2 linked regions of the Arabidopsis thaliana genome follow. The protein of the gene in region 1 interacts with the protein of each later gene in a pairwise test. Each region holds a gene or a part of one and is shown in the gene's direction. Other genes may lie near its edges. The genes, in order: FIB2 and AT5G62440.

What was found.
Region 2: the proteins of FIB2 (region 1) and AT5G62440 interact in a two-hybrid assay, tested with the Arabidopsis thaliana proteins (one study listed by BioGRID).

What each region holds. Positions count from the first base shown.
Region 1 is NC_003075.7:13,072,204-13,077,208, forward strand, and holds FIB2 (fibrillarin 2), read left to right. Parts: upstream 1-1,886; 5' UTR 1,887-2,035; coding exon 2,036-2,054; intron 2,055-2,296; coding exon 2,297-2,637; intron 2,638-2,730; coding exon 2,731-2,826; intron 2,827-2,910; coding exon 2,911-2,988; intron 2,989-3,075; coding exon 3,076-3,252; intron 3,253-3,359; exon of another isoform or gene 3,360-3,432; intron 3,433-3,666; coding exon 3,667-3,735; intron 3,736-3,819; coding exon 3,820-4,002; 3' UTR 4,003-4,229; downstream 4,230-5,005. Other genes in the region: DTX35 (detoxifying efflux carrier 35), read right to left, coding at 4,373-4,454, 4,754-4,821, 4,906-4,992. UniProt on the Arabidopsis thaliana protein: S-adenosyl-L-methionine-dependent methyltransferase that has the ability to methylate both RNAs and proteins. Involved in pre-rRNA processing.
Region 2 is NC_003076.8:25,071,566-25,076,108, reverse strand, and holds AT5G62440 (EMB514 (DUF3223)), read left to right. Parts: upstream 1-2,039; 5' UTR 2,040-2,191; coding exon 2,192-2,488; intron 2,489-3,177; coding exon 3,178-3,489; 3' UTR 3,490-3,992; downstream 3,993-4,543. Other genes in the region: AT5G62460 (RING/FYVE/PHD zinc finger superfamily protein), read right to left, coding at 93-164, 262-600, 913-915. UniProt on the Arabidopsis thaliana protein: May play a role in ribosome biogenesis and in determining the rate of cell division. Involved in a process essential for nuclear and nucleolar functions.

The sequences.
Region 1 (5,005 bases):
TAAAGAATAGTTGATAATATTTCATGAAAATCGATTTGTTTTGGTGGACATACATCGTCGTCTCTACTCTATTGTCTCGATCGCAAGTAATATGACAAATAAAGCAGCAGCCCTAGCAATAAAACATGTGACTACTAAAATAGGAGGATTTATCTTTACTTGACGAACTATAAATTAAATATCTACTCTTTTACCTTGACTTTGAAAATTACTTTTTAAGATTGCCTTTTACAATTATGTGGAATAGCGGCACACATTTACGTAAATTTAACTTCAATTTAAAACAATGATTTATTCATTTTCATCATACAAACTTTTCAGCACATTTTCTCCTTTTTAATATAATTTTATATATTATAGATAGAGATATAGATCAAACAATGTATGACTTTAAACTTAGATTGTAAATTCTTCTTACTATGCTCGAAAATTTCATCTACGTATATAGATCTATTGTAAACCTAAGTTTAAAACGGAAATCAGTTATTGATAGTAATCTAGTAAGTTTAATCAACTATGCGTTATAACATAATGAAATCATATATACGAGCTTAGATATCTAATTCAGTTAATCAACAAGTCAACTAAACAAGGCTTCACTTTTCCACACCTCTACAGATCGAAATTATTATATATTCGAATTATGTAACTAATGTAAGTCTTGCAACGTGTGGATAGATACAAAATGGATATGTCCATAGGTATACATATTAAAAATATAACTAGAAATGGTATATTACTAACAAAATTTTACCCCCAAAGGTGGCCATCCACTAGTAGCCACATGCTTATCTAGTAGACATTGAACATGATAAAAAGTGCCAAATAAGTGGAATAATCAATGGGAATCTTCATTCCTATAAACAAAAACATTTTCAAGCCTATGACATAGCTAGCTACTCTACAACATGTATATGCCAATTGGGATATAAATGTATTAAAGCATAACCATTAATTTGACAAATAGAAATAAATAGTTCAGAATGTATAAGTTGAGAAAAGTTATAATGATTGGTAGGGAGAGACTCAAAAAGAAAAAAGGATGGGTAATGGGACCTATTTTCCCCAACATCCCACATGCACACTTCCCTCTCCATTCTCTCACATTTATTTCTTTCATTCTAATTTATCCATTCCGTGTGTAACATATTCACTAATAATCTCATCTCACTAACTCATTCATTGATTGTGATATGTTTATCTAGAATTAGTGTTTTAACACTGTGTCTACATATGATTTCCTTTTCATTGTATGTGAACATGTTAACTCACTAATCATTTTGTATTTTCGAGTTAACATGAGTCTCCACTTCGGTAGACTAAAGTAAAGATAGGTTTGAGTATAATAAAGTTTAAAATTTGCTTTAAAATCAATATTTATAAATAAGTTTTTATCATAAGTGATTTTTGTATGTTATATTGGACCTTGTATAAACAGACTACAGAAGAAAATTATTTATGAGAACTTGTAATGTTAGAGTGGACCTCGTATAAACTAATTATGTGGGCTTTTACCATAAACTATTTATGAAAATTATTATGGCCCACACCACTATAACTAAAGCCCACATATTTAGCAGCCCAGTTTCATTGTAAGAGACATGTTCGCTCTGGAACTAGAATTTTCTGGTTTTTGGGTATTTGTTTTCTTATGTGTAGAGAAATGATGGTAACGATTAAATGTTGTGTATTACAATTTACAATGGTAAGACGATTAATATATTTACACACAATTTTGTTGTTGCTGTAACACGTTAGTGTGTGTGATGATAGAATTTCATAAAGCTTTAACTACGAGGGGCAAAATGTTAATTCTAAATAGTTGACAGCAGAAAAAGATATGTATACATAATATAAGGATTAAAACGTAAATAATAATAAATAAGGCGAGTTAAATTAAAACCCTGTTAAAACCCTAGCTTGAAACACATGTATAAAAACACTTGCGAGCGCAGCTTCATCGCCATCGCCATTCTCTCTCTCATCAAAAGCTTTTCTCCTTGATTTTCGCATTCTTTAGAGTCTTAACGCAAAGATGAGACCTCCTCTAACTGGTAAGAACCCTAGCCGCCTCTTCTCTTTTCTTCATTGCTTGCTTATCAGATTAACAATGGCGAGTGACACTCTTAGCTCGTTTAGTCTTTAAAACTTTATGTCTTTAGCTGAACTGATTGTCAACTTTGTTCTTTTTTGCTTAGAACTGTATTGGGTCTGCGTTAGTTCTATCGGATATAGAGTTGATGGTTGGGTTTTATGTTAAACATGGAGTCTCTAATGAATGGTCTTTTGTGTTCAGGAAGTGGTGGTGGGTTCAGTGGTGGAAGAGGGCGTGGTGGATACAGTGGTGGTAGAGGTGACGGTGGATTCAGTGGTGGTCGAGGTGGCGGTGGTAGAGGAGGAGGAAGAGGTTTCAGCGACCGTGGTGGTCGCGGCAGAGGAAGAGGACCACCACGTGGTGGTGCTCGCGGCGGCAGAGGACCAGCTGGCCGTGGAGGCATGAAAGGAGGAAGCAAAGTGATTGTGGAACCTCACAGACACGCAGGAGTGTTCATTGCAAAGGGTAAAGAAGATGCCCTTGTTACCAAGAATTTGGTTCCTGGTGAAGCTGTCTACAACGAGAAGAGAATCTCTGTTCAGGTATTATAGAGGATTGATTAATTGATTGATGGTTTGTATTTGCACTCCTTTTGATGAATTTGTTTTTAATGGTTCTTGTGATTGAATCTGCAGAACGAAGATGGAACCAAGACTGAATACAGAGTTTGGAATCCTTTCCGTTCGAAGTTGGCTGCTGCTATTCTTGGTGGTGTTGATAACATCTGGATTGTAAGCATCAGCTTGTGTGAATCTTATTGTTGTTGTTTGCGAGACTTGGTTCATATATTGATTGTTGTTCCCGTTTCAATGTAGAAACCTGGTGCTAAAGTTCTATACCTTGGTGCTGCTTCTGGAACCACAGTCTCTCATGTGTCTGATCTTGTTGGCCCTGTAAGCAGAACCCGTCCTTTATGTTGTGATTATCAGGTTTTAGACGTGTATTGGAGTTTCTTATATATTGCCTTTGTGATCTGATAGGAGGGGTGTGTGTACGCGGTTGAGTTTTCTCATAGAAGTGGTAGAGATTTGGTGAACATGGCAAAGAAGAGAACCAATGTTATTCCAATCATCGAGGATGCTAGACACCCAGCTAAATACAGAATGCTTGTAGGCATGGTTGATGTTATCTTCTCTGATGTTGCTCAGCCAGATCAGGTTTGCTTCTTTTGTTTAACTCACAATGAATGTCTAAATATTTGCCTCAAAAAGCTTGACCCAATACCATTATATGTGTCCTTTGCTTTAAAATGGTGTTTTGATAATTGCAAATGATGATCTTACTTGGATTCCCCTTCAGATCATTATGGGTGATGCAATCTCCAAGTTTCTGATGTACTGAAAATTCTTGTTTTTGTTTTTGTTAAGCTTAATCTTATTTTACTATGTACTTGTTTTACAATTTCGTTTTTAAGAACAATACTAAATTTAAATGTCTATTATTGCTCGGTTTTGGTTCTCCTGATGTTAAACCTACTTGTTTTCTAAATGCCATTCAGCTTGTGGGTTGCTTCTAGTATACTTTATACTGTTTTGTTTATGAAATTTTCTGTGCCATTTAAAACCGTGCAGGCTAGGATCTTGGCTTTGAATGCATCATACTTCCTCAAGTCAGGAGGACACTTTGTGATCTCAATAAAGGTGGGTAGCAATCGAAACATTTATTTAATCCATGATCTCTCAAGAGAGAAAGATTAGTGAACATGTATTGTCTCATTTTTGCAGGCAAACTGTATCGACTCCACCGTTCCAGCAGAAGCTGTGTTCCAGACTGAAGTGAAGAAGCTTCAACAGGAGCAATTCAAACCAGCTGAGCAAGTGACGCTTGAGCCATTTGAGCGTGACCATGCATGTGTCGTTGGTGGCTACCGTATGCCTAAGAAGCCAAAGGCTGCTACTGCTGCTTAGAAGTTTTCTACTCTACGCTCTTCCCAGTACCTCAGATTTTGCTTTGTCTCGGTCTCTTTAGAATCTGTATGGTTTTAGGGTTTATCTTAAATTTTGAGCTTTGTAATCATTTTGAACCCTGGTTATGTTCACTTGGCTTCCAGCGCTAACTTTTTCGACAAGTTTTTGATATATGGAACAATTATAATAGAATTTTGTCGACTGAGGTTGATTTCTTTAAATAATGACACCTCGTAATGCAAATGTAAAACGCCGCAAGAATTTGCACACAAACAAAACAAAGTTTGAAGACACGTTGCATTTTTAGGACACAAGCCAAGGAAATGTAAATACAAAAAGCTCACGCAGAAACTGTAACAAAAAACTAATGTCAGAAGTGGGGTTTGAACCCACGCCCTCTTACGAAGACCAGAACTTGAGTCTGGCGCCTTAGACCACTCGGCCATCCTGACCTTCTTTATTAAATATCATTGACAACATATATAGCAGGATGAAAAAACTAGAATGGCTTATTCTCAAGCATCTGGAATTTTATTTGGGTTACAAATTTTTTTGATACATTTGGGTTACATGAGGAAAAGTAACTAACATTTGTAATGCAATTTTTCCTTTTGGAAGTAAGTAACAAAACATAACTGATGGAACAGTTTCCTACAATCTAAAACTCTAAATAGAACAATTTGGTGCCCAAACCAATGAAAGACAAACAAAAAGTCACTACTAAGCTTAACAAAAAAAAAACATCAATCACGCAAGTATATCCTTGGATGTCGTCTCACTCCCTCCCCATTTCTTCATACGTTCCATCGTCTCCTCCACCTGTTCATCACAGTTGAGATCGATTCAATTCAAGGAATGAAAAAGTGTATATAACAAACATGGTGTTGTATATCTGGTTCTTACCTCTTTATTCCAGTTTGTCTTATACAGAACAATCAACAGTAACAACGTTTGAAGCGCTGTCCCGGCTATCATTCCAGACCAAAGTCCCTGAAAACATTAT
Region 2 (4,543 bases), on another chromosome or scaffold:
GTTTCCATAAGGAAGAAAAAACAGTTATATAAACTTGCATTCGGTGTAACCAAAAGATTATACCAAAAATGTTGTTAGTGATTTGATTATACCTTGTGGCATATTTCACAGGTTGTGTCGCCTTTCTCATTACACCAACGTTGAACACACTTACGATGAGCATACTATAGACACAAAATACCAAATTGATGAGAACTGTTTTAAACGAAAGATACCAACAAAAACAAATAAAACAATGAGATTCATTGATAAAATTATCACCTTCAAACTGCCACTACAAGAACAAGGGGACTCGAGGTTCTTAACGGAATCCTCCTCTTGGCATATACGACATTCAACCGATTGGATGAGCGGTTCCTCTTCATCATCAACATCGCGTTGTTCCGTTGTCTCTTCTTCCTCGGTTTTCTTACCATCCATAGATTTAGTAGTAGACAGGCTTGTGGAACCCTGAGCTCTAGAACTCTCTCCAGAAGATTCAATAGATTGATTGGATCCTCTATCTGAGTTTAAACTTTCAGGTTTCACGAGACGGTCAGTACTTGAACTCTGATCATCAGCCATCTCTCTTTTAGCCTCAATGTGTAAAAAAACGTTGTCCTGTTAAAAACCAAGAAAGATCCAAAGATTCAAAATAAAAATCTCATAACTCTTATAATGATAAATGTTCCATCATCAACACAAAAATCTCCATTTCTTTGAATCGAAACATCATAATTGAGCTCAGACAATCGATTTCATTTCATTAAAGCGGAACAATTCAGGGAAAATGTCTTGGTGGAAGAGATTAGGATCTGAGTTTAAAATATGTCTTTGTCTCCAAATTTCCCCAAATTTTCAAGACATAAACCTAATCGGAAAATCCCCAAATTTCAGAATCACATCTCAACCATGAAAACAAAAGAGAGATACCATTCGATTCCATCACAATTCAGGAATGAAATTGAAACCCCAAAAGTCACAGAAATCAAAATTCCCAAATAGCAGAATCAACCAACCATAACCCAAGAAGAAAATGAAAGAAAAAAAGAGATAAAAGAGAAGATGATCAAATTATGATTACCTATAGAAGAAGAAATATCGTGAATCGCAGAAAATGGGGGAAAGAAGCTCTCTTTCGATTTCTTGAAGGGCACAAACAGCTCTCAAGATGAAATTCGGACAAATGTGTTTTCTTGTTTGATGTTCGGTCTGGAAAAATATTCAGATAAGTAAATCAAAATTTCGAAGCGCGTGTAAACAGATAAATATATAATTAAATACACAAAACCGGAGTTATGGAGGTTGACGATTTGACACGGTAACGTTATGATAATCAGATTTTCACAAAAAAAAGTTTTTTTTTTTTTTGTACCTATCTATCTTGGTTCTTTTTAGATTTTAGATAATATTACAAAAATAACTCTTTACCAAAATACGATAAAATAATTCCATTATTTTTAGAAAATTTAAGATTGAGGTGTTTGACTGTTGATAGATAATATGGTAAGATTGACTAGAAGCAAAAAAAATATATTCCAATTATGTCAAATTTTTGAAAAATTTAAGAAGTTCCATTAATTCCACGAGATGTAAATAATTTCAAAAGATGTTCGTTTGACTTTGACATTTTCCTCTTTGGCAAAAATTGTGATTGATCAATAAGTTAAGTCTCCAAGATATCCCGACAGACTGAACATCTAAAACGTTTAGGTATCCCAAAAATTATTTTTAATAACATTGTAAATTATATCAACATTTTTTATCCAAAAAAAGTATAATATGATTTATTTGTTAAACTATTATATTAAGATTTGAGTTTTTATTCTATTATTTAGAATTACTGACTATTATCCAAATTTTCTACAACAGTAAAAGTAATTTGTAGACTAAAAAAATATCTTGAGATGATTAATAAAAAAATATATTAGAAAAATGTAGACTTTAAAATGAAAAGATTTAAGAGACGTAAAAATAATAATTGGACAGATCAATGACGACAAATTAGTTACTACATTGAAAATCCTGGTTTTCATGTAGTGTATGCCGTCGAGCCAAAAAATCAAATAGACCGAACCAGTTCGGTTCAATCGGAAACCAAAGTCATATAAATATACCGCTTAGACGATTTCTGTAGGTCACACACCCTCAAGCTTAAACCCTAGAAATCGTAGAAAGGTGAAAAAAAGGCGGAAGCTTTACTAGCTTAACAATGGCTGAAGAACAAGAGATCGTCGATTCCCTGTCAGCGGAAGTGAACCCAGACCAGAAAGTGGACATGGAAGTCGAAACCGCGACCCCGAAAGCCGAGACCGGCGATGAGAAACGTGAGAGAGAGGAGACAGAGGAAGAAGAGAACGGAGGTGAATCGAAGAAGCAGAAGGTTGGAGAGGAAGAGAAGTCAGGTCCGGTTAAACTTGGTCCCAAGGAGTTTGTTACCTCTGTGGCGATGTTCGATTACTTTGTCAAGTTTTTACACTTTTGGCCAACTGATCTCGATGTTAATAAGGTAATACATATTTGGGTTTACTCTTCGTCTTTGTCTTTTGGCTTTGTTTATTGTAAAGTTTCAAATTTTTTGGAAATATTCATTCCTTTGCTCGAGACTTATATAGGTTAATCTAAGAGCTCTGATTGTGATTATTAAGTTCTGTGATGTGTTTAGGAAGATGTTTTATCAATGAATCTGATGATGATCGTGCTTTGTATTTAAACTAAAAGAAATTGAGAATTGGGTTCGCCTTTGTATTGGTCATATGATTTGATTTTGGATTCAGTGTTTGGTGTTAGAATTTTGTTTTTGTCTCAAATTAGTGGTTGTTTACAATGATTGTGGATATTGTATTATGTTTAGGGAGATGATTGTGGATATTGTATTATGTTTAGGGAGAGGATTAGTGAAGTGGAGATAGCTTGTAAATTGGACTCCTTTGCAGCTTTTTTACTAGTTGAAAAGTTCAAATGTATCGTGTTCTTACTGATTATATGATTGTGGATTGTGTGTGAATTAGAAAGTTTTTTTGGGTCTTGATGTCATATAATGGTTAGAAGAATGAAGTTAATGTCAAATTTTGAGGGCACAAATAAAAGATAAAACATTGCATAGTCATGTAATATATTACAGTTGTTGCAGTTTCTTTTGAGCTTCCAACTAACTAACTCGTTGTACTGAACTTTGTTCTGGATTGTACATTTCAGTATGAGCACATGGTGCTGCTAGATCTGATTAAGAAGGGCCATTCTGAGCCTGAAAAGAAGATTGGAGGAGGAATCAAAACCTTCCAAGTAAGAACCCACCCAATGTGGAAAAGCAGATGCTTCTTTCTGGTTAGGGAAGACGATACTGCAGACGATTTCAGCTTCAGGAAGTGTGTTGATCAAATCCTCCCATTGCCTGAAAACATGAAGACTCCTGGAGCTAACGGCAATGGACATGGTGGAGGTCGCGGTGGCGGTGGTGGAAGAAGAGGCGGTCGTGGTGGTGGTAGAGGAGGGAGATTCAGAAGATGAATATGCTGACACTTGATGCCTTATTTCAAAAGAAAATTTTGAAAATTTCAGATTTAGTTCTTTTGCCAAAAACTTTAAAAGTTATGATCTTGTCTAATGCAACTGCTTTTTGTTGGAGAAAAATTGTCAGTTTATATAACCCATTATTGCTGAAGAAGAAGAATATTGTCCCTACTATCTTGACAACATCAGAAAAAAACACAGACGCGTCAATAGAACTAAAAATCTGGTTGATCTAGTTTTTAAAAACCAATAATTCAAAAACGAAAAACTCAAATCAAAATCTAGATGAAAAAAAAACACTTTCCATTGATAGTGTAGTGTTGATCTGGTTGCTAAATGATAATGTTAAATAAAAAGAATTGGGGAAGTTATGAAAAACCGACATTTTGACTTTGGTAACTTACTGTGTGTGACATGTTCACCGTTTACGACCCTTCTAAGAGAAAGACAATGCCCTCAAACTAAAGCTGTCTTAAATCTTAACCCTGCTAAAAAATGATTACATGAAGTGATAACACTGGTTGGCACACGTCTTGGAATAATGGATTATTTTGAAACACATTATGAATTATAAAGAAACATTATCCGATATTCGGTATTCGGATTAATATTCCAAATTGTCTTCTTACACAATATACAAATAGACACATACACAAATTGTCTTTTGAAGATGCAACAAATTTTGTTTTGTTAAGCCTTCTTAGATTTAGGAAGCTTCTTAACTACGATCTTACTGCAACACAATCAGTTTGTGAAATCTATGATCTGACCAAGATGCAGGTGAGTAAGGGACCTACAGTAGAAGTTGACATGGAAAAAAGGCAGAGTTTGGTAAATCATAAAATGTGGCAGAGACCTTTTTGGTAATAGCCAATGAGAGAGCACCTCATATCTATTACCTTCTTCTGCAGTCTTCTTATCTTAACGTACAACCGTTCACTTAATGAAATTCGTCAATGGATGTTATATGGTTGTGAAGTTTTTTTTTTGTTTTTTTTTTTATAATTGATTTTCTATTAATGGTTGTGATTAATCTTTGTGTATAAAAGAA